Lepisosteus oculatus: one gene and its partner. The protein of the gene in region 1 interacts with the protein of each later gene in a pairwise test. Links are inferred from orthologs where the notes say so. Each region holds a gene or a part of one and is shown in the gene's direction. Other genes may lie near its edges.

What was found.
Region 2: the proteins of ccnk (region 1) and cdk18 interact in binary tests that used the Homo sapiens proteins (3 or more experiments, as listed by UniProt). The two-hybrid records come from large-scale screens. The link is inferred for Lepisosteus oculatus from reciprocal best matches to the Homo sapiens genes CCNK and CDK18.

The regions. Positions count from the first base shown.
Region 1 is NC_090703.1:1,880,463-1,892,730, forward strand, and holds the start of ccnk (cyclin-K), read left to right. Parts: upstream 1-6,180; 5' UTR 6,181-6,364; intron 6,365-6,414; exon of another isoform or gene 6,415-6,769; intron 6,770-9,183; 5' UTR 9,184-9,243; coding exon 9,244-9,440; intron 9,441-9,955; coding exon 9,956-10,037; intron 10,038-10,295; coding exon 10,296-10,427; intron 10,428-10,856; coding exon 10,857-10,962; intron 10,963-11,909; coding exon 11,910-11,967; intron 11,968-12,236; coding exon 12,237-12,268. Other genes in the region: setd3 (actin-histidine N-methyltransferase), read right to left, coding at 170-262, 1,629-1,731. UniProt on the Homo sapiens protein: Regulatory subunit of cyclin-dependent kinases that mediates activation of target kinases.
Region 2 is NC_090700.1:37,777,856-37,790,737, reverse strand, and holds the start of cdk18 (cyclin-dependent kinase 18), read left to right. Parts: upstream 1-7,204; 5' UTR 7,205-7,410; intron 7,411-12,882. UniProt on the Homo sapiens protein: May play a role in signal transduction cascades in terminally differentiated cells.

The DNA.
Region 1 (12,268 bases):
TCACAAAGTCACAGGAAAACATAAAATGAGGTTCTGCAATAAATCAGCTCCTGGGGAAAACCTGAACTCCTTTCACTAGAAGAGCTAATAGCATGGGGAATCTCTGGAGGAAGTGCTCAAGAGGAAGCTTGTTCAGAAAGACACTGCTCCCTGCTGAAGGGGGAGATACCTTTCTGCTTTTTGCGGATTTTCTCTACCAGCGATCGGATCTGAATGTACTCTTCCCATTCCTTTCCCGGAGCTGGGGCCGGGCCGCTGCACTCTACGAACAAAGCAGGATACATAAAACCAGGGAGATTGGTTTGTAATGAATTTTCCTTACGGAACTACTCAAATTGCATGGGAAAACAATCTTTGAAAAACCACGGAAAAGTGAATAAAAAAAAGTTTCTTCTGCAAATAGCATTTTAAAATTTACTCAGTTCTTACAAAATATCATGTGGAATAGTAAAGACAATAATAACGTCCAAAGAAAGCAGTCTGTCTGCACTGCATAGTCTATTTCATGTTAAGAGCTGGGGCTTTTCTTGACCATGTGACCTTCAGGACTCCTGCCCTGTAGTTCAGCCAATATCCTCCAGGTGTCCCTGTAGGTACGCTAACCTCAGCAACTTTAGAATAACAATTTCAGTTCTTACAGCAGATACTGTACATATATTTGCACTTCAGAAATACCTTATAGGTGGCACAGGGCATAGTGTAATATTTGAATACACTGAAAATACATTTTAAAAGCATGACTGGATTTGTCTCAGACAATGCCAGTTACATGATCAAGGCATTCTTTGAAGACCATTGCCAAATTTAGGACATCTGACATGTAATGTTTAAATGCTTTCTGTTTTCTTGATAGCAGACAAGGTTGCTATAACAGTGAAAAGTTTTATATTCTGTCCAAGAAGGAAAACGTTTAAAGAACAGATTTGAGCTATTATTTGATAGATTTTAGCTATTACTATCGATTACATGCCTCCTATTTCGTGCACAACAAAATGGGGCACTTGATATTCTGCTGTAGAATATTAGTTGAAGTACATTCATTTTTACCCAGACTTTGTGGGAATTGAAACTGATGTTTCCCTAAATACTCTGGTATTAAAGAAGCTGAAAACACTGCTGACAAGATGTAAGAGGCTTGGAAATGTGGCTCTCTCCATCTGTGATGCATGGCAAGACTGGTCAACCTAACAGTGGTTTGAGACTCATAATGTTACAATACAATATGATCCAATAATGAGGTATTAACAATTGAATCCTGAGCTTTGGCACAGCAGATGCAAATAAAGAGCTAAGAAACAGAACTGTTAAAACCTTCAGTGAAGTTTCTGCATGTTTCAAACTGGAAAAACTAAAAAAAGGTGCATGGTGTTGTGGTAGTAATGCTGCCTCTTGGCGCTGCTTAAGTTGTAGCATTTAAATAAGTGAGATGATTAAGGTAGCACAACATCATGATTGTTTAATAAGTGGCTTTAGGAAATGTTATGTCAACCTCTAGGTGTTGGAGGACTGAAATAAGTTTAAAAAAAAAAACCATGTCCTAAGATAGAACATCCTCACTGAGATACAGGAAACCCACAGGGATTTTATGCACCTGCACCAATTATCACCTTAACAAAAACAGGTCTTACTTTGCAACAGATCCGAAACTAAATTCATCATCTCCTTGGGGGAGACCACTGAGGCAGCCCCAGTGCCTGATTTCTGGGTCTTCACTCTGCTCTTCTTCCCCATCCTCAGACTGGAGAAAGATCAGGAGGATGCTTCACTGCACAACAGGGGACAAAGGGACAGCAGAATATTCCTTGATGGACATTTATGTATCAACAAACATATTTAAAGTCAAAAGATCCAAGCCACAGCCATGCAAAAGCTTTTCTGAAACCATGATGATTTCTAATTATGATTTCTAATTATCACAGCTTGTGATTCCTAAATCTTCCCATACATCCTAAAATACTGTCCTTGTTAATTTAAGCAGCCTATTGGAAGATATTAAAATTTAAAGCTGTTCGACAAAAGCCTTACCCACATCTCTTCACTAGGTGGCACGCTTTACGCACCTAACAGCTCGATAACACAAAGAAAAGTATTTTACAGTTGCTAAATTAAAAAGGCTGCACTCCTAAAATAATCTTCAGAAACTCAGCAGCAGTGACAATCACCAGCTTATATCTGATGGCCCCTCTCTTGTTCGTTATTCTACTACTGCACGTGTGTGCCGGAGCTGGGCATGCAGCTCAGAACCACAAGGCGCAGGTACAACAGTGGCATCTCCTCCGCCAGCACCGACACAGCTCCACCGGGGGGGGGGGGGGTACAGCACACTTTCATGCTTCGCCTTTCATCTTTCATATGAAAGACGAGACCCCAAAATAAAATGCCTGGGCGAAAGCAAAAACAAAGGGCATGATCTAGGAGCTGAAGAGTGACGCCACTCCTGACGGTGGAGGTCCACTCGAGACTGCGGACAGAGACGGCTGCGTGATGCGCCGCATCAGACTCTTCACAGCCCTCTTCGCTTTCAAACCGTTTGAATCTGAACAGGCTCGTAATGATATTCTGAATGCTGTGCGTTCAAGACCTGGACTGGCTGTTTTCATTATGCAGAAGACTAAATGGCATCTCCATGGAAACAGTGCTGTGTGGTGTGTTAATGTGAAGCACTATTTCAAAAGACTGGCTTTGAGGTACATTACATTAGGATAAAAGCACTCAATACCTTATTTTTAGGCAGACTGTGTTTCATCTTGATGATTGCACTGAAAAAGTTGACTATTTAATCACATGGTCCTTAATGGAATTATTAATAAGTGTATTACTTCTTAATACATCTTGCTAAGTTTCGCAAAACTATTTGTAATACAAATACACCATCAGTCTGTTCTAATTTAGAAACGCTTAGTCACTTTTCCATGATGAAACAAAGTATTGCACACAAAAAAATTCAAATTTCATAACACACTCAGTTTTAGTACTATACGGACATTATCTTGCAGTACAACTAGATCTGGAGTGAAAAATGTTTTCTGTGGAACCCAGAGGCCTCCCAGTTCCACTGAGGAAAACCACTGATCTAAAACACAAGAACATTAATAACAGACACTTCACACAAACCACATCAAGGAGATCCTGTGAGGATCAGACCTCAGGATATTCCAATAAAGCAGCTTTCAAGTCCTGACACTCTCCTCAAATAAAACCTGCAAAGAAAAATAGTGCAGTATGCATGAAGGCCTGCCTTTGTGCAGCAGAGCTACACAGCAAAAGCATCATCCCACATCATGTGCAACTGCACACTCACAACTTTATTCCTGCAGGGTTGACACTGTACTTCACTTCATGCCGTATTAAGCAGACGTACAGCTTCCAAACATCAGGAAAATCACTTTTTTACTGCAAATCACGCAACTGACACATACAGCAACATAAAGAGAATCCTCACCAAACGAGAACTGGCACTGCTCCGTACGCCTGTTTACCCCAAGAAGCATGTGCATAAGAATATTTCCTGAGAGACAAGAGTGCCATTCTTTCAAGGTGCTTGTTCACAAAAAGAAAATGCTGTGCCTTGGCAAAAACAAATAGTTCATGGGTGAAATGATCAAACCGTCAGTGTATGGCAACACACAAAAACCCACTGGGTGATGCCAGTTCCCCTCACTCATCCAGCACTCTGAACTGCCCTATAAAAACTGGGAAAAACCTCATCTATTCTAGAAGGAGCAGTGTTGCTCAACGCAGCGGTTGCCAGCTGGACACAGAAATGACAAGTCAGTCTGTCAATCAGTTTAGTTTACTCTATTCCATAAAACACTCATGAAACACTGATACTTTTTCTTCGGTTACAATGGAATAACTGGTAACGGAAAATGTCTCAGGGTCCACCCCCAGGATACTGCCAAATAGAGCACTAAAGTTTTCAAAATAACTGCCAGGCACTTCCACACAGCTGCACAGCTTTGCTTTCAAAATTCCTGGCCACCAGCGAGACACATGGTTCACTTCCCTTGTCACTTTTACGAGACCAAGCCAAGACTCAGTCAAAAGACTCAACGACTGAAACCAAGTGCTGCACATGTGACAGAAGGAAATCACTGGAAATAACTCAGACTTTTCTCTTTGAAGTCAGACCAGAACACTGCTGAGTAAAAATATAAATCAGTCCTTATTTGGGGTAACCGAAGCAATTCTCTAATGTAGGGAGAACACAAAATCAACAATTACATTTTCAAGATGGGCAGTTGGCCATTGTTTGAATTGTTAGGAATCTGGTTGCAACTCCAGTTTCCAAACTACTGCAGAACATTTTATATTTACCCTCCATTTCTCACACCTTTTAAAGAGAATTGCTTCTCTTTACAATATTTACTACTCAACACTTTTATTCATTTTAAACTCCAGAAAAATAAGAGGAAAGGCAGATTCCCCCCGACGTTTAGCTTTCCTGAAGGAAAAGGACCTTTTACATCAGCACCGAACAGTAAGAGTGTCTGAGCACTGTGTAGATCCAGGCACCTTTAGAAAGACCCACACTGATGTGACACCCGAACTGCCTTCCATCTCCTGTTATCAAGATTAAAAAGATCAACGTTGAAAAAGAGGTCAATCTGTAAATAGAGTGCTTTGACAAGACAAGAAGGATGTTTACAACTGAAGAAATGGCGCGTCCTGTCTTGTTTATTTGGGTCGACTTCCTGAGACATCCAATGGAATTGCACAGGCTGGGTAGTTTGCAGAACACACCCACTACTCTTTGTGCAGACGCCCTGAAGCAGAGCTTCTAGAGAGAAAATCCTTACAAAGACCCCAAGCTATCATTCAGAGCTGCTTCTTTGCGGAGATGAGGGATCAAATCTGCCCACGGCCTACGGAGAACATTTTCAGACGACTTACCTTTCAAGAGGAACGGAACCGCAGATGGACCTGTATGATTGTCCCCATTGGGCCAGTTTTGCTTGTTACTAAGAAGCCCAGTCAATATTAAAGCCGACCAATCAGGCGCTTTGGATCGAATGTGCAGCTGCATGACCTAAATGAAGCGACTTGCACAAGTCAGAAATTAGAAACCCTTTCGCCCATGCAGGCTTCCTAACTGCACTTAGCTCTACTGTAGGACGGGAGCAATATCTAAGATTTTAATCATGAACAAAAACAGTTCCCACCAGTAATGGTAAACACCATGGTGATGTTTAATACAGATATGATATATCATGCCAAAAATCCCTTTTGCCTCCTGTCACAAAAGTACAGCACTGAATAGCTATAGTAACAACCACCATTCTCTTCTTAAATGGAATGAAATTAAAACGAATTTCGAAAAATAAACCCATGTAAGGTATTTGGCATGCTTCGGACAAAGTCTGGCACAACACTGTGAAGCCATTTGAAACTTTGGTGTATCGCACAGTGCTGTACTGCAGCACAGCGCCTTCTCTTCCACAGCAGACAGCAGATGCTCTTCGGCCTTTCTGAACTCTCTCCTGGTAGGAAAACCTAAGGGAAGTCGCCGAGGCATTCATTACAACCAAGGGATAAACTTTGAGGAGGAAAAGTAAATCTGGACGGTGGAAATCGGCATCTGCCCCGCGTTACTCAACACAGTAAAACAGCGTGTGTTCCCGACGTAAACTAGAACCAAACCCACGAACCGCCCATGAGTGTGTGATTTTGTAGCATTATTGTATAACATTACCTCCAAATTAACTGCTGCAGGTCCTGTCAGCTTGGAGTTCAGTCCTCACCCAGTTGCTCTGAGAGTGCAACCTAACCGCCCTGCAACCAGATTAAACCACGCCTGCACCACTGTTCCTCTTTGCGATTGAATAAAGAACACTTCCTGCATACATTCTCAAGGGTTTTGATTGGATAAACGCTGAAATACGTCCCCTAGTATTTCCTCTTTCATTGGGTTAATATGTATGTCACTCAAAACGAGGCTGAGTAGTCCCACCCCCCAGTTTTGATTGGTTGCGGAAGCGACAACGTGTTCTATTCTTTTATTTGATTGGTCACTTACTACATGGCGGCTCTTAAGTTTGACTGCACAACACAGCTCATCAAAGCCCGCCTCCTGACTCCACCTATTGGCTGTTTACTTTGGCATTGAATGAATTACCTTACATGGAAAGGGCTTCCATTTACTAATTGGTCAGCACGGATGTCAATCAGAGCGGGGGACCCAAAAAAAACATCCCTCCTCCGTGCTCGCCATACGGAGGGCCTGTCGTAACCGTGTTCGTCTCAAAAATGGCGGCGCCCACTGTACGGGAGGGAGTTTTGTTGTGGGATTAAACCGACACAGAAGACGTCCGTGGTCTTCTCCCCTGGAATAAAGACTGCTGCCGTCGTCTTGCAGCTGCGTCAGGTGTGTACGGCGGTGTTTCAGTCCCCGCTGGGGGCAGCTAGGCTGAAGCGAGAGGCGCTGACCGGTCGGTGGTGTGGGAAGCAGTCCCTTCGCCTGGCCGCGCGTTGCGCTAACGAGTTAACCGAGTTAAAAACCCGGAGCTGTGCACACACAGCCCACAACGCTTTCCTCAACGACGCCCGTGTCTACTCACTCGGGGTACCCCTGTGAAACGGTCTGGCCCTCGGCGCCTCTGCACCCCGGGCGGAGCAGTGCGGGGAAGTGGGGTGCAGGCGAGGGGCTCGGGGTGTGCTGCGCTGTCCGGTTTTCAGTTTCACTTTGTGACTGCTTCTGGAAACCTGGAGAGCTCCGATCGGCTTTCTGTGTTTAGTTGCGCGCTGTTTTCCTCGAGGGTCACGGACTGTCGTAAGCAATTCTCTCATCTCTAATCATGCAGCGTCGTTACACAGGAGACGGGTTTTTTTTTTAATGGAATCTGTAAACAGCGGCTTAAAGGAAGAAATGCACCCCTCGTGTATTTGTTTACGCCCTGTTTATTGTAACTGCTGCAGCGTATAGAGGTACAGCATTAATGTAACGATATTGAGAAATAAATGCACATATAAGCCTCTTATAGCTTTTTGAGGTGGATTTGTCATTCATCTTGTATTATTAATCCTGCTTGCGTTTTGGCTTTCGTCTTTTACATTATTGTGGCGCTGTAATAACTGTTAGCCGGCGTTAAAATGTCTTGACTGGATAGGAGCGTGGCCTCCGTACAGTCCCGCTAATACGCAGAATATTGTGTTCATATGAGAGATGCCATTTCTTTCAGAACTCGTTGGAAGTTGCTGAGGTTTGCGTTGTCCAGATGTTAGAGAAGTGGTACGCACTGCGACTCCCTCTAGTGTGTGCTGTTCCTCAGCTGTGTGGAGGGCCCAGTTACCTGCTGGCTTAAGGGGTTTGGTTCATTCATGAATCTCTTCCTGTTGCTTAAGCGGTCTAATTATGTTATTAACTGCATGAGTGGTGTATTATAAACCAGACTTTCAAGTGTGTTGGTAATCGTACCTCTAAAGACCTGTTTTTCATAAGTCATCCTTTAGGATGACTGTGAAATGCCTATATTAAAAATCCTATATATGGCACATTTATGCATATTAGTTTAGGTGTTAAATTGACTTTTCGTACGGGGGGAAAAACAACAGAAGACGCCAGGCCCCCCAGGACCCGCCTGTGAGATCCCTGAGTTACTGCGGCTGTGTGTTCCTGTGGTTCACAGGGAGCGCTGGTGTGCCTTGCAGTTCGCTGTGCGTGGTGACCAGACCCCTGTCTGTCCTGTGTGTTACTGCTGCTCTTGTCTTTTGCCATCTCGGTGTTTTCGTCAGCTGCTTGGATTTGACATATAATTCTGCCGCTGGCGCGGGTGTGTTTCATCAGGGCCGTCTTAAGGCCTTCCCACTGATGCTCCTCGTCTAGGTGAACCACACCTGTGCCCTCTGGGGTAGAAAGCGGAAAGGAGCCGAGTCAGGTTTTTGTTCACGCACGAGGTGCCCGAAGCGACACCTCGGAGAGGACCGTTCTTCCTCCTGGGCCAGTCCAACAGGTCGGCCAGCGCATTGCTCGCTTGAAACGGTGCTCGTGAAATCACGTGACGGGCGCTCTGGCCGACGGTACTGACGCAGGGTGCTGCCGGGGGGGGCCAAGTGGTCATGGTCCTAACATGGCATGGCAAGCACAAGAAGCTGCGCAACGACACGGCCGTGGTGTGGGTCCTACGTCTTGTTGCAGCTGGTAGGGAAGAGTATCGCTGCCAACCAGATGAACAGTCACTGCTGTTAAAGTTTTGATAATGTGCACTATCCTCAGACCTAATATTAAGAAATTATGTTCCATCACAAAAGCCGATCATATAAAAACATACAGTAAGACAGAACACTGGGCCTTGCGATGGAACCGGCATCTATATGTGATAGAGCACCGTGCTGGACATCGAACTCAAACGAAGTCTTGCTCATGAGTCCAGCTCTTTCATTACCCTTTACGTCCCTCTCCAGCACCTTACAGACACAAAGCCTTACAGTTACTGACACAAAGCCTTTTACCTTTGTAAAACTTTTTAAACCTTGTAGCTTACTATAATTCATTATAGCTTATTATAGTAGCTTAATTGTAACAGCTCTGAAAACACAGGTGATAGTGTGGGCTCGCTGTGTCCTTTACTCTTCACTGTGTACATTTCTGGAATTTTTCATTGTATTAGTAAAACATGGTCAAAATCCGTCTGTATTGAAACGTTGTTAAAAAGTATGAAAACGGACACTGTGTCCCTGTTGGGTGATGCCTCCCAGCACAGAAGCAAACAGTAATTCACCAGTTTTACTGTATTAGACATGGCCTTGCTACCTGTCTCACACATGTCCTGTAATGGAGTGCGTTCTTTCCTTGGTTCCGGCACACGGTGCGCTGTCTGTGTGCCCAGTGCACACCACACCTCCGCTTCAGGCGCGGCGCCCGTGAAGAGCAACCCATGATGGCAGCACAGAATAAACCAAACTGCACTAAGTTCTTCAGTCAAGACCAGCCGAGGTCTGAGAAGATCTCAGTTTGGTTCGATTAATGCAAACACTGTCAGGAGTTCAGACAAACAAGTGAGAACATCCCCCTGGAGAAGGGAGGAACTGGCTGGCTTGTGTCTGAAGCTGAGCTTCTGTGTGGAGAAGAAGGTTATCCGTCTGTTGCTGACGGGTGTTCTCAGCCGAAAAGAGAAAAGGTGTTTCAGCAGTAGTTGTATTTTGTCCTTTATGCACCAGTCTGACATGATTTTATTTTACTTGCAGGGCTGCTGCACAGTGAGCTGTTTAAAGGATCTGCCTTGTGAGTTATATTATTTTTAATAAATGAAGGAAAATAAGGAGAATTCAACTCCCGGTACGCCTGGTGCAAACCTGGACCACATCAAGCCATGCTGGTACTGGGACAAGAAGGACCTGGCGCACACCCCCTCCCAGTCTGAGGGGCTGGACCCAGCCACCGAGGCCCGGTACCGGCGAGAGGGAGCCCGGTTCATATTCGACGTGGGGACGCGCCTGGGGCTGTATCCTTTCCTCGGCTGCCTCGCGGGGCCGCCGGCTGCCCATGTGTTTTTGCTGTTCTTGTGGAGTGTCAGGTTCCGACTCCACCCGCCGAGCCGGGCAGTTAACGGACTGGCAGTGCAGTGTGGCCTCCCTGAGGGAAGCAGTGTCTCGCTCCTGCGTGAGCTGTGTAGCGGAGCTGCCAGTGCAGCTTGACCGCAGCTCCTAGCTGGATCTGGAATTCCAGGGGCGAGTCAAGTGGGTTCCCTCTGATACGTGTCACATTTTGGGATGAAAGCTGTTATATTATTGCTAGGACTTGCTAGCTTTTTGTCTTTTTTTTTAATTCAATTTTAATTTTTCCATAGTCACCAGTATGGAAAGAAACTCATAATCGGATACACAGTGTTATTTCGGTGTCTTGTCGTGTCTCCGGAGAGAGTACACAGCTTGTTGCCTGCGCTATGTTCTTCTCTTCTGCATAATGGTTTTTCACTAGATGTCAGTTTATTGTTTAATTCCTTGATGACATGATCAGGCACTATGACACACTGGCGACTGGGATCATCTATTTTCACCGCTTCTACATGTTCCATTCTTTCAAACAGTTCCCTAGATACGTACGTATTCTAGTGTTTATCAATGCTGTTTTTCATGCACTCCTTTTAGGTAATTTGGAACTAACTTTTAATGAGGTTAAAGTATATTATAAGAGCAGAACTAAGTGGTAATTGTATGTAAAATAATATAAAATTAAAGTGTCATTAATAAAATGTGCACATTTTGTCAGAGCACATCATGTGTCCTTTAAGAACAACTATCTATTCCTTGAATGAAGTCTTTACTGGTCCTTATACGTCTGTGTTTTTGGGGTGTAGGTCACGGGAGCCTGTTGTCTGTTTCTTGCGGGCAAAGTGGAGGAGACCCCGAAGAAGTGCAAAGACATCATTAAAACCGCTCGCAGCTTATTGAATGATGTGCAGTTTGCACAGTTCGGAGACGACCCAAAGGTGAACTGGTGTTTATTCTTTTTCCAGACAGCTTTTGCCTGTTCCTGTGGCCGGAACTGTACAGTTATTGTCAATTCACCTGCCTGCAGCGCAAACAATAGGCAGACGTTAGTACTTTTTAATTCAGAATAAAGGATGAAAACGCTTACTGTAAATCAGGCATCCAATATTTAATATTTACAGCATTTTAAGACAAATTTTGAAGCTTTCACAAATCATAAGGGAACTGCTTCTAAAGTGGTTTTGCTGTAGCTGTCTCTTAGACTTCCTGTGGTCTAAATTATAACATATGGCACATTAACTAAGCTCTGCTTCTGTTTTTCACTACTCTACCTATTGTACTCATAAAAATGTCACAAGAATTGTTTCAGCAGGTGTATTCCCCGTTAGTGTGCTGGCACTAAGAACAGAAGTTTTATTTCCCAACAGGAGGAAGTCATGGTGCTGGAAAGAATATTATTACAGACCATAAAATTTGACTTGCAAGTGGAGCATCCATATCAGTTTCTTCTTCGCTATGCGAAACAGCTGAAAGGTAGTTATTGGGTCTTCATTTGTCTTATTTTTTGCAGTAATGTGGAGCAATGTTTTTGGACTCATAACTGGAAGGTTTAAATCCCAGCTGAGACAATGCTTTTGTGCCCCTGAGATACTTCACTGAACTATTAGACCTGTGTACAGGGATGCAAATGTAGGTGGCCTTGAACAGAAGCATCAACCAAATAACTTGAGGAAAAATTGTTTCATTTTGCAGGTTAGTTAATTGGCTCTGTTTTCTGTTAATCTGCTGTTGATAAAAATAGGTATAAATTTGCACACTTTGTTGTAGCGAAAAGTCATAAATCAGGGATACAGTAGTGGTATTTTTTAGAGATCAGGTAACAGAAATGAACTTTTGCGCACAAGCAGCTTATGGATTGAAGGGTCTCATCTGACCGTTTCTTTAATTGTTGTTGAGTCAGAGGCTCTGGGACATCTTGGAACAGACCCACACCCTTTGTTTAAAGAAAAACATCCTGATTTCAGTTCTAAAGCACTTCCTTCAATCTTAAAAGCACTTACAGTATGTACATCTCCCCAAGAAACATTAAACAAATGTTTCAACCTGTCCCTGTTTTTCATACTCTGTAGCTTAGCTTTAGGTTGATAAAATTTTGAACCAAGTCTTAACAAGAAAGTGCTTCAAGTGTGCTTGCAGCAGTATTAACATTACCACACTGACAGTGGCTTTCAGCTACAGTTTTAGCAAGCATTGTATTGCTGACAATGTCCTGTCCTCAAAATGCACTGTAAAGACACTTTGAATGTATTGTGTATTTCCTTGGGCTGTTAATCACAGATTAACATGCCTTGGAGAAGTATTGCATATGCGTTTGAAACCTTTTTTTGAGGGTGTGGTTTTGTGTGACAATGTAATAACATTATGCAGCCTCTTGCATTTGGATTTTATTAGATGAAAGAATTCTGTTTTAATATTTTCAGGTGATAAGAATAAACTACAGAAGTTGGTGCAGATGGCCTGGACATTTGTCAATGACAGGTAAAATATTTATTTATTATTAAATTTAATCAGTACACGTTTTGTAAACCCATTATTCTTCTCAAGTTTAAAATGGTCATGCAGTGCAGAAACAATTTAAGATTTACCAAAAACGGATCATTTTAATATCACTTTGACTTACCAGTTTAAGATCCCTGTTATGTTGGCAGTGCTGTATAGCGGACCCTTGCATCTGTACTCGTCTTGTCTGCCTGGCCTTAGCTCTTGCACCTGCAGATGGTTAATGTTTCCGGGGCTGTTGCCCCCAGTTTGTGCACCATGTTGTCCTTGCAGTGGGAGC
Region 2 (12,882 bases), on another chromosome or scaffold:
TATCTGGTGATTTAACATATCAGAGAGGGGATTTCACCAGACTGGATAACTGCTCACTCATACATGCCCATAGATCTATCAGCAGTCTTGTGGGGTCTCCAACTTTAGTTCTGCAGGGCCCCATTCCAGAAAGGGTCAAGAAGTAACTATTGAATCATCAATTTCTAAAGGCCTGGAATATTTTAATTGTGTTCGGATAAGCAGGTTTGTTAAGCAACTTTTTTGAGAACATTATGAACATAAAATCTTTCACATCTTATTGCCCTGTTTTCCTAAAGTTAATCTAATTGCTTTCTTAAGTGATTAATCTCCTAGCAGTGGTCTAGAGTTTTAGAAACAGGTACTTAGGGCAACCTTTAAGACAAGCTGGATTGGGGTTCTACAAGACTGGGTTGGAGAAACCTGTCCTTAAGGGGTACACGCATAGATCAGTGGTACCCTTGGGTGGGTTTTCATTCCAACACAAGTCTTAATGAGCCAAACCAGCTGGTTCCTGACTTAAGTAGACCAATTGAATAGCTTATAAAAGAGACTGTAGCAGGTCTCACAGTAGTGAGGATAACAGATTCAACTTACCTGGCACTAGAGGCCTTGAGATCTCTATTGTGTGTGTGTGGGTTGCAGAGTTAATTCAGTGATTGGTTAATTGGGGGAAGGGCTGAGAGACATTTTCACATGAGGTCAATATAGTTTAGTATAAGTTTGGTATAGAAAAGGATTCACTGCACAAGATAGTGTTGAATGTGAATATAATAATGTCTCTTTGCATGATATGTTTTATTCCATCATGGGTTTTCATGGGTTTCAGCTTCTTGAGACATCTGCTGAGAAGAAGGGCTTGTTGTAGAGACATTGGAAACCCACAAACACACCTAGCCCTCTGGGACCAGGACTTTACATCCAAGCTATAGATCTTAACCCTCCTCAGCCTCTTTTAAACATCTCATTCCAAAAGCAAGAATATCCTGCCGAAGCATTTCATGTGGTCAAAGGCATCTTGTGTCTCTTCAAGAGATCAGCTTTGTATGTGCAAACCCCATGGAAAGACCTGGTTTGTTTTTATATTCAAGATACACATACAGTACACTCCTCAAGTGTGACATGTTAAACAAATACACACACATTTTAGTACACTGGCATCTTTCTACATGTGAGCTTCACCAATACAATGCCACAACTTACGCAGAAGCAAAAAATACCTTTCTCTCATGTCCTTTCTCCAGTCCAGATATCTGTTTAACTAAATCGTGCTTCTCAGTCAGACCAAGTTAAAAAATAGTGGTTTTCAAAAATTATATTTCCACTTCAATCTTTCCACTAGCCTTTTCAACTCTATCTTGCTAAACAATCTAAATAACTGTGATCTGTAACCTTCTCTTACCTGAGGCAGGTGCTTTCCTCCAGGTGTGTCAGATCCCAATAATTACTCACTTTTACCCAGGGTCTTGCCCAGAGGTTTTCTGGGAGTTGTAGTTTTTTTTACCTTCAATCTGGCCCTCCGTAGTTCTTTTACTTTGTATTGGGAATGTAGCTGTGCTCTCTTCCTCTTCCCCTCAGGGTGTTACAGTATATACAAGCATTCTAAGACATCAGAGAACATTGAAACAAAGTTAAATCATGTTAGAGTCTCAGTGAGCTCCAGGGCACACAGAACAAATCAGTTTGTGTGATTTTCTTTTTGTATGCTTGGAGTCACTGATTCTATTCTTTTTCTTAATTTGCCTCCAGTGTAGAGCGGTGTTGTCAATAAGGTCAGCACCAGCAGTGTGCACATTTTCCCCTGAAGTGCACATTGCTTTGGGCCATCTGCCATTTTTCATGCAGCAGGTTTCAGCCGAACGAACACAGATCTGAGGACTGCTGACAGCAGTGCAAGGGGCAGGCATCTGCCAGGCCACAGGAGGTCGCCATTTCTCTCCATAATATTGATACTCCAGATGACTGAAGCCCTGACGAAACCTGACCTCTTACACTCTGCCACTTAGGGAAACCCAGTTTGCAATCAGATAAAGACATAGTCTGGTCTCGAACCAGCAACACCCAGACCACTCAGCATGATGCCCTACATTGATTTCACTGCTTAAAAACTCCTAGTTTCTTATTTTTAGATTTTATGCATCCATATGAATATAAAGATTGTGGCTTGGCTAATCAAAGTGGACTCACCGTGTTCTGTGAATAGCTACACCAGCAATGATATCTGGTGTTTCCACATGAATCTCACCCACATCGTTTTAATCAGCTTTCATACTGTTACAAGATGAAGTATTCCCCCCCACCTCCCATACATACACCATATTATTGTGTGTGGACCTCTGCAATCATCAAGCACACATTGAACAGGAGGTGACATGCAATTCACAGTGTTCTGAAAGTGTCTGCAACCGGGTCCCATTCAGCCCAGGTTGTGATATGGAGGTGTGTGGGACTGAAATGAAAAGTCCCTCAGTTTTGCAAAAGAAGGAGACAGAACACTCATTCATGGTCCTCAAGCTAACCGTGTCAGAGATCAAGATCTGACAATAAAAGGTGAATTGTATTAATAACCCTTCCTTGGTCTTCTCCAGCATGTTGGCAGACACTAGCTCTGTACACTGATACAAACACTAAGGACTACAAAATGTCCTGAAAACCAAAACTGTACATACTGTAAACCACACTAAACCATACTAAAGAACTAAAGAGCTGCACAAGGAGCCGTCTTACTGCTACAGCAAGAGCCTGCTCTTAGCACCTGTCAGTAGGACAAATCGAAATTTTAAACCCTGTTCATATTATATTTTCTGGGGTTTTTATTTTTTTCTGTGGAATGTTTGATATTCTATGTCATAGCTGTGGTAGCTGAAGCTTTCCATCAGTGGTCAGCTGTTTGTGCCTAGATCATCAGTACCTGAATTCTCAGCTACATGCTCTGTAATGTAATATCCACACTGACCCTCCTAGCAGATCCACTGCTGGCCACCTGTTGTTGCTCTTTCACAGACAAGAACAATGGGGATTAATGTTGGTATTTTTAGTGTGCAGTGTTCCTATTTACACACTGTCTGCAGAGGAACATTAGAATTGAAATTTAACAGCATCAGAACAAAGAAAATTTTACAAAAGAGGAGAGGTCATTTGTCCCATCACATAACCCCCTTCAACTGCTTTACTGACCCAGCAGTTGATTCCACCAGGAATCACTGAAACTTTTATACACTGTGGTGTGGAAGGCATCCAAGTTTCATGCCTGGTTCATAAACTTCTATAAAGCCCTTTCCCTTTTACAGCAATTTGACAGAAAATCTTTGATCACATTTTGTTTGCATTTTCTAGCCCATCAGATACACATAGCTGTGCCAAAGTGCTTCCAATCCCAAAATGTGCTTTGATGTATTTTAAATCTCAATAACCATGTTGATATTAAAGAAAGAGTTAAAAAAAACAAACACCCTGCCTGTAATTGACTGGCTCTAAACCACTGTTGCATTAAGACGCTGGTCAGAACAGGAAGAGTGTTGCTATTCTTTGTATAATTGTTTGGATTGCACTTTTATCCAGAGCACAATATTTGTACTGTATCCCTTTGTACAGCTGGACATTTTAAGGTGTCCAAGGGAAGCATCTTGCTCAAGGGTGCCCATATCACCCTGCAACTCACAACTGGCAACCCACTGAAGCTAAGCAGGTGTGAGCCTGGTCAGTACCTGGATGGGAGACCTCCTGGGAAAAACTAAGGTTGCTGCTGGAAGAGGTGTTAGTGGGGCCAGCAGGGGGCGCTCACCCTGCGGTCCATGTGGGTCCTAATGCCCCAGTATAGTGACGGGGACACTATACTGTAAACAGGCGCCGTCCTTCGGATGAGACGTAAAACCGAGGTCCTGACTCTCTGTGGTCATTAAAAATCCCAGGGCGCTTCAGGGTGTAACCCCGGTGTCCTGGCCAAATTTCCCCCCTGGCCTTTACCCCATCATGGCCTCCTAATAATCCCCCTCTATGAATTGGCTACATTACTCTGCTCTCCTCCCCACTGATAGCTGATGTGTGGTGAGCGTTCTGGCGCACTATGGCTGCCGTCGCATCATCCAGGTGGATGCTGCACATTGGTGGTGGTGGAGGGGAGACCCCATTACCTGTAAAGCGCTTTGAGTGGAGTGTCCAGAAAAGCGCTATATAAGTGTAAGCAATTATTATTATTATTATAGCTGTGTCTCACCTGGGATTTGAACTCATGACCATCCAGGTACAAGACCTGATGCTCAGGTCATACTCTTTTAGGGTGCTGGCAGCCATCTTTGTTAGGAAAACAAATAGTTAAGTGTGCCATGCATTTCTTTGCACTTTTACTGTGGCCTGTTGTGCCAGTCAGGTATAATCTTATATTTTTTTACTTTATCCTATTATGGGGAAGATTACTATGCTGTGGAGCACAACTCCAGTTAACAATGGCAACTTAGTCCAATGGAGCTCACATGCCTCCTTAACTTGTGAGTGGCAAAGGATCTTTGTCAGTTGGATCCCATTATGTAGGCACTACGTTAAACTGGGTACTTACGAACTCAGGTGAAATGAACATTCAGACACAGAGGGAGCAGTGTTGTGCACCTGTGGTGCAACATGTGTATGCACAATACTAGTGAGCACACTGGCCCCTTCAGAGAAAGGGGAATGTGTGTGTGGTGAAGACTTGGAGACCTGGGCTTGCATATCATCTAGGAATCAGAGCGGTAGCTTCATCACTACCTTCTATTTACAATGCATAATGCTAGTATGCCCAGCATGTGGAGAGGCCAGGAAAGGGCACTGTATTTCTGAGCAGAAGAGGAAAACATTCCAGTAAAGCAAAGACCCTTTGACAGTTAACAACAGTTACTAAATTGCACATGCATATTCAGTGACCCTGAATGATGTCTGGTGACAACGATCCAGAGTTTAATAAACCCACATTTCTGCCCTTTCTTGTCAGAGCAAACCTCTCCACCCCCACTCTGGCACTTCTCAGGAACCTCTTAGATCGTTTAAGGGTTGGTCTAATTGGGTCTGGAGTGACTGTTGTGCCCAGCAGAGGGAGACGGTTTTCCTGTGCCTTTTGCCCTCCTCTCCCCTTTTTTTCACTGCATGCATTAAGTAATCCTGAATGCTGACTGGTTCTGCCTCCTCAATATTGCACATGACCTTTCCATTCGCCTCCTTTCTGGGCTCAGTGCTGTGTTACAGTCTGGGAGACGGGTCTGCAGCTTCATGACAACACCAACCTCTCTCACCAGTAAAGCCTCAGTGCAGAGCCCTGTTAGCCACTTCAGATTAAATTATTTTATTGCATTTTCTTTTGGATTCTTGTAGTTTCTACAGTATTCCCTGCCCAGGTTTAAATTTCTAATCAAAGACATATATACAGTACGTTTTTTATTCCCAGCTGAAGGAAAGAAATCCCCAAGGCTGACTGAACTGCAGAATAACATTTTGATTTCAGACTCTCCTTAATCTTTATTTAATGGAGTCAAAGAGGTGTAATTGGGTGAGAGATGAAAGCAATTTACTCCAAGGCAGGTCACTGTATTCCTAAAGGAAAAGACAAAGCACATTTTAACAGGTAAATAGCACGAAATTTTTTACTGGATGGGTACATTTAAAGCTGCGCTATAAAGAGCTTTGATGTAATTTATTTCTAGTTCTCTACCAGTATGATTTTCTCCCCCCATTTCTTCAATCAAAACGTTGCTGAAAGACATCTCGCAGTAAAAGGTTTTGAAGATGTATCCCCCACAGAGTTTGAAACTGAACACAGTTGTCGATGTGTTCCTGGCAAATTGACTTTGGAAGCAACAGTGCAAACTGGAAACAATGTAGACAGCATTGTTCTCAGGGAAATAACTCCTACTGCGCACTTTAACCCTCAGCTTCACGGGGGGAACACCCTGCAGCTATGCTAACAGCAAAGAATGATGGACAGTGAGTTTTATTTCTCTGCTACTGGAGCCATTTTCGATATTAGTAGGTGAAGAAGTAAAACATTCTTCTTTATACAACTGACTACAATTAATTAAACCAGATTAAAATTTGTTGTGTAAAGGAAGGTTTTAAGACAGAGCCTAGCCTCTAATATGGGGTTGAAGGCTGGCCTGACAACATGGTTTCCCAGGATTTGTAGGTTTGGGTATTACTAAGATCTCCCACAGAATACTGTGCACCACTGTGGTTGCCACATTACAAACAGACTGATTCAATTTCTTAAATTGGTTTATTCAGTTAATTCATGATCTCAAAGGACTGTGCCGCATGCTCAGGACACACTCAGTTTAAAACTGAACTCTCTTTATTCTTCAACCCCTTAGCTGGTGAGGGGACTTGATGTAAGTATTCAAAGTCCAGAACTGTATTAACAAGCTCACAGGAAGTCTTTATGGTCAATGGTGAACAGGGGGCACAAGTGCAAAATAAGAGGAAATGTATTTTAAGGTGAGAATAGGAGAAGTGTTCTTTACACAGAGACTTGAAGGAGTCTGGAACAAGGCCACGGTTTTTAAAGCTGATTCAAGACAGAGCTGGATGACATCCTTGGGCAAGCTAGCTGTTAGTACCCAAGGAAGCAGGAAGGACAGAATGGCTCACTTGTAAATTATCTTGTATTAAAAAGTTTGCGTCACTGGTAATGTGACTGGGAACTGAGCCGCAACTCTCCGCTTTATGCAAAGCAGTGCACCTAAACATCGGTAAACAAACCCGGCAACCTCTTAAGCATGTCAAGGCTATCTGAAGACTGAGACTCCCACTGGTCTGTACCTGGTCTTAGTAACCAGGCTTACATGCTCATTATGTATTTGTAATGGTGCATGTGCCTTTTAAATGCCTGTCTGTTTAGTTGTGTAAAATCTCTTGTAACAGCAATACTCAATGTTCCCAATTGACAGCACCACTTTTTCTGAGATTGTGTTGGCTTGTCCTGAAATGGAAAGAGACCTGTTCTTTCACAAGTAGTCAGAGCTGCTAATTCAACACCTTCCAGAGGCAGCAAATAAAAACTCAACACATTCACCTCACAGGCAGAAAGCCCTGCAGTATTATCTCTACAGAGTGAGAAGTACTTTGAGCACTGTGTAGGGCTGGTTAAAAGAGGCTGTCTGTTCCTCCCCTGTCATTGGCTGTTGCTATAACAATAGAGGTGGGGAGGGAAGCAGGAAGGCGGGGACAAGCTCTGATTATAAAATACTTCAGTGAAACACATTTGTTGTTTTTTTTAGTCAGAACTGTGCACATGAAGAGGACGGCTGCTTCTGACCACGGCCACAGAAAGGACCCTTAACTCACATCTCCTGCCAGCAGCAGACCTAATCATTAGTCTACACTGGGGATTATATTTCTTAGTGCTTATCAAGAGAGACCTGGAGCTGAAGGAGTAGGGCTCCTGTTCTCACTGCTATCTTCCCTCTTGTAAGTATTAAAGCCCTGCTTGCTGTCTCTGTTAAACATCTGTATGTGATTAGAAAACTAGAAACAGTCACATTACTGCCCCTACAGGTGTGTGTTGTGTTTCTGTTCCAGGCCAAAGTATATCCAAAATATATCTGTGTACAAGGGAGATACAGGATTGTGGTTTAGGGGATGGTGTGCAAAGCAACAGTATGTTCAGTAGCTCAGTGGCTGGAGTGCTGCACTGCAGTGTGTGCACTGCTGGAGTGCAGGTGTTCAGTGGTTCAGTGTTTTCAGAGTGCTGGGCTGCAGTGCGTTCAGTAGCTTAGTGCCGGGGTACAGTGTGTTCAGTGGCTTAGTGCTGTGGTACAGTGTGTTCAGTGGCTTAGTGGTTGAAGTGCTGTACTGCAGTGTGTTCAGTGGCTCAGTGGTCAACATGCTTGGCTGCAACGTGTTCAGTGGCTCAGTGCTGGAGTGCAATGTGTTCAGTATTTCAGTGGTTGGAGTGTAGAACTGTAGTGCATTCTGTGGCTCAGTGGCTGGCTTGCTGGGTTGCAAAGTGTTCAGTAGCTCAGTGCTTGGAGTACAAGGCAGCTTTGTGTTGAGTCGCTGAATGGCTGGAATGTGGAAGTGTGGTGCAGAAGTATCTAAAAGAAGCATATTCAGTAGCTACGTGGTTAAATGGTTGGGATTTTGGGCTGCATTATGTTGGGTAGAGTAGTGGCCAGAGTGCTAGACAGTGGTGTGTTCAGCAACTCAGCGGTTGGAGTGTTGAGGAGAAGTATCTCTAGAGATTGAATGGTTAACAGTGCTGGAAGCAATGAGCTCAATGGGTCAGTGAATACAGTGCTGGAATGTGGAAGGCAGTGGGCTTGGTTAAACAGCTCAGTGCTCAGGTTCCTACTCTGTATTATAAAACTGAAGGTTCAAACTATTAAGTGTCTGCAGTCCTGGCCTACACCTGGTACCACATTCAAAAATTCAGTGGAGCAGGACTAGTGCTTGAACTGGTTAAGGAACATATTATGCAAAATTCACTAAATGCAAATTGTTTTAACTGGAGGTCTATTCCCACTGCTACAGTATGAAATTGTAAAGTGCATTTTATGCTGAGATGTAACCTAGGTTGTAGAAACAGAGTTTCGCATTAGATTTTTGCATGCTATCAACTGCAAGAGTTGAAGAATGATCATTTAAAATTTTACATTGAATAGAACCTGCACCTTCATGCACGTTAAAAATACAAAATCGTTGTTTGGAAAGTGAAAAACCAAAGTCATAAATGCAAAAACTCTGAAATAGACAGAAAAATGCATTTTGTATTAACTGAGGCTACCACGTTCCGTGGGAAATGATATATGTTTAAGGATGCAATGCAGTCATCTGAGAAACAGGTATATACTGTAAAATTACTTATGATTGGTTCTGCCAAGAGTCTTGTCTTCATAGGTGGCAGTGCTGCGTCATTGAAGCTGTTCTTAGCTGGGTGCACGTCTCTTTTCTAGTTTCATATGTTGAACACTGCCACTCAGTGGTAAGATGCAGTTATTACAATTGTTGGCCACTGGAACTACTTAGCTAAACACAAAGCAACAAACGTAATCAATTAACTGAACCATTAATTGGCCAAGGGAAAGAGGACTGGTTTTCTAAGGCAGCAAATTAAAATGATAGGGTGAGTTTAAAATACATGAACACAGAGCTTCTGGCCCATTACATTACAACACATGAGGACAGCACTCTGGTCTTGCTGGCCAAAGAATCATCCAGGAACTATGAGAAAATGCACTATTTTAGGCCTTTTAAAAATGAATTCAAATTAACATTGAACTCAAGGAAATAAAGTAATTTATAGGACAGTTTCTCTGCACACTTTGGATTTCCTAATAGAGTTTCTCTGTATGGGCCTCATGGAATGCTGAGACTTGCTCTCATCTGGTTAGGTTTTTGTCTGTAATTGCCAACACATTCATTTGTTAATTTATGTTTGGGACAGGCATGCAGGAGGGAATTGCAAGACTGCAGAGAACTGTTCATTAATCAGATTGTAGTGTTGGGCTGCAGTATGTTCAGTTGCTCAGTGGCTCTAGTGCTGGATGGCAGTTTTTTCAGTATCTCAGTGGATGAAGACTTGGCAGGAGGGAGCTCAGAACTATGTGCTATCAATTCCCGTTATAAATATCTGTAACAGAGGCACCACTTATGCCAGTCCAAACACCAACAGCTAATTCACTGTAATTGTGAAGCGTAAGCCAGTGTTTATCTCATGTTCAGGTGACTTTTATTTGCATTCTTACAAAAGCATTGCTTGGAGCTTTTTGAAATGATTTCATAGAGATAAAAGCAAAAACAACTTGTCGCTTTGCCTTTGCATTCCTGTTCCTTTGACGGCTGTGTTTTTAACAGCACATGAATCTGCTTGCCATCTTCTTCAGGATTCAAATCCAGGGAGACTGTAGCTGTGAACAGAATGGTGTTACACCTTGCAGTTTTGGACGTAACCACGAAGCAGTTATATCTTGTTTGTAAGCCTTCAGCAAACTAATGAGAACCCACAAAGGAATTGTGTAAACCTAGCATTGTAATAGCTCTCTATCAGGAGGCTATTAAACTGAATTAATGCAATGGATTCATTAATCACAGGCAAGCATTCATTTAACAGAGGCCCTAGGTGATTAGTGATGTTACAATATAAATCACCCAAGCACCCAAATAAGGATTAGAAACAAAAAAATCCGTGACCAACTGAAATTTTAATGATAAATCTCTTCTCATTTTGTTTGTTTAGTATTGAAATATCGGACATTTGGAAGAACAGACACTTCTAGGTCAATTAGAGTCAGTTCCTGTGGTTTCAATGGTGGGAAGATAGCCCATTAAATTTCATCATTAAATGAATTTAATGTGGGAGTTCGCCCACAGATGAAAATCAAGCCCCCTGTGTTCATACCTCAATGATATAGACTAGGATGTCTTCCAAATGAAAACAAAAGAAAGAACATCAGATCATGCTACTGGAGGAGAGAAAAGTTTGTGAAAGCAGGAGTTCTGATGGCTTTGCGCTAATGGGCATCAGACAGTGATGTTGAATAATCCGAATCTCTCTCCCATGCGCTGAATCAGTAAGACGGCCAGATCGTGTTGTACCCAAGAGTGAGCCAGGACCCTCCTCAGCATGTGCCTGAGCAGTGCCAGCTCTGGAGTCTTGCATGTTCACACAGACGTCATGGTCACCTGCTTCTGTCCTTCTACTGTCTCACACCCAGCATGGCCAGCACTGCTCAATCTGGGACCACAACTGCCCCCATTCCCCAGTATGAACTTTACTGTGGTGTTAGCAAGGCTCAACACCACAGAGACTATATTAAAACATATTTACAAACATACAAGCATTTATTTTTTCTAGGTTTAAATTATCTTTACATACGCATTACTAAATATGGAAAGATGAATGCTTTGATGCATGGAGGGATCTTTAATATAATCTTTAAAAATAGTAAATTTGCATGTTATTGCTTAATGAACTATATACTATGACACTATATACCAGTGTCAGATCAACAAGCACGGTATTAAATCCCTACCTTTTAAAAACATGCTTTTCCAGTATTCTAGAGGTACATATTGTTATAATATGTGTTATATATGATACAGTACAGTATATTGCCTACACATACAAATGAGGGTACAATTGCCCTCTACATTTTGAGATTCATTCATGCTATACGGATACTCTGGTTCAGATGGAGCTCTGAGGGTTTTGAGCTGTACAAAGATTTGCGTTTTCATGCCTGGAGATAAAGGCCTGTGCATTTTCCTTAACAGCCATTCGCTGTTGGTGACTTAAAAACCAAAAGGTTAGATCTATTATTGCAGAGTAGAGGTCTCTGCTAAAAGCCAACAAATCCGGGAGCGGCACGCTGTCCGTGCAGCAGAGGCAAGAGAGAAAAGGTGCTGGCTGAGCAAAGAGCTGCTTTGGAATAATAAATACACGTTAGTTCATAGCAAGAAAGTTCACAGCAAGGAACAGAGAAATAAGGCAATTTGCATAGCAGTAGGGCGATGGTCTGCGAACACTAATGCTGAATTTGTATCAGGGGGCTGGGAAATAAATGACAACTGGGCTCCTTACTTACATCACAGACAGGTGAAGTCCTCATCGCTGTGGCCAGCCAGAATAGATCAGATGACTGTTCCCCACACCATCTTCGCCAAAGCTTCAAGAAAAAATCTTCCTATAAATGACTCAACAAGTCATTAGTTGCAGGAGCAAGCAATATCATATTCTTTTTTATTTTATTTAATTTATGTGATGAGTTAGCCAGGGAAAATCTAATCTGTGTTGGCTGTGCTTTGTCCCCATGGCCCAAAGACAGCTAAGTGAATGAATTCTCCTGAACAGCATGTGAGCTGGCAGTGCTGAATGTAGTCTGACCATGGGCAAGGACGTGACTTTCTGCAGAGGTTCAAGGACACGCTGAATTATGACAGTCTTGTGGTAAAGTGTATTTGACGTCTGGCTCATTTGAATCATTTGTCATTCCAATGCATTTGTTTGCACTGTACACTTCACACGATGTAAGCAGCAAGTCTGAAACTTTGAAAAGTGCATTGTCCTTTGTACTGAGCTATGCTGATTAGCTTACAAAACATCTTTATCTCGTTATGCCCTTCAGGACTGTCAGACCAGTCCCTGACCTGATATTTGTGAATGGGGCAGTTCTGTGTCCTGCAGACACTGGGTAGAGCCAGCCATTGCTGGAAAGGCAGATAGAAACTCAGGAGCAGTGAACGGCAATGCTGATTGATTTCTCTATACATATACCGTATACATATGGATCTATCTTATATGCTACAATGTTGCAAAATTATTGAACTTTTATGCATATGTAGTACACAATAATGCATTAAATGTGAAAGCCAAAAGCAAAACTAAATTAATCATTAAAAGCTGTAGTGAAAAAATAGATCTTTAAATGGGTTTTTAAAATCTCAAAGCTTGCAGAGTCTCTAATGGATTAAGGCAGTGCATTCCACGGACAGGGCACTGTACAAGAGAAGGCTCTATACTTCATTGGGTGAAGCATGGTCTTCGGCAAAGAAAGAAGACCTTAATCAGTAAATATTTGATTAAAAGATGGACTACACTCATTCAATAATAACTTCAGATTGAGAATTCAGTGCCTTTTACAACATTAGGAGAAACTTAAAGTCCTCTTAATTCCACATACAGTATGTCATCATTATCATCTATATTCCCTGTCAGTCCATTTCAGCGTTTTCAGCTCTGAACCTGCAGTAAGCATATCTATGCATTATCATGGACACATAGGTTTATGTATACATTTATAAGATTATATATGTAGATTTAGATTAAGTATGCAATTGCATACAGTTAAACAAGAAACGAAGGGGTTTATTAAGATAAAGAGTTACAACTGAGAGAAGTTTCCAGCTTGATCTCTGGGATTGTTTTCCCATCAACACGGTCTT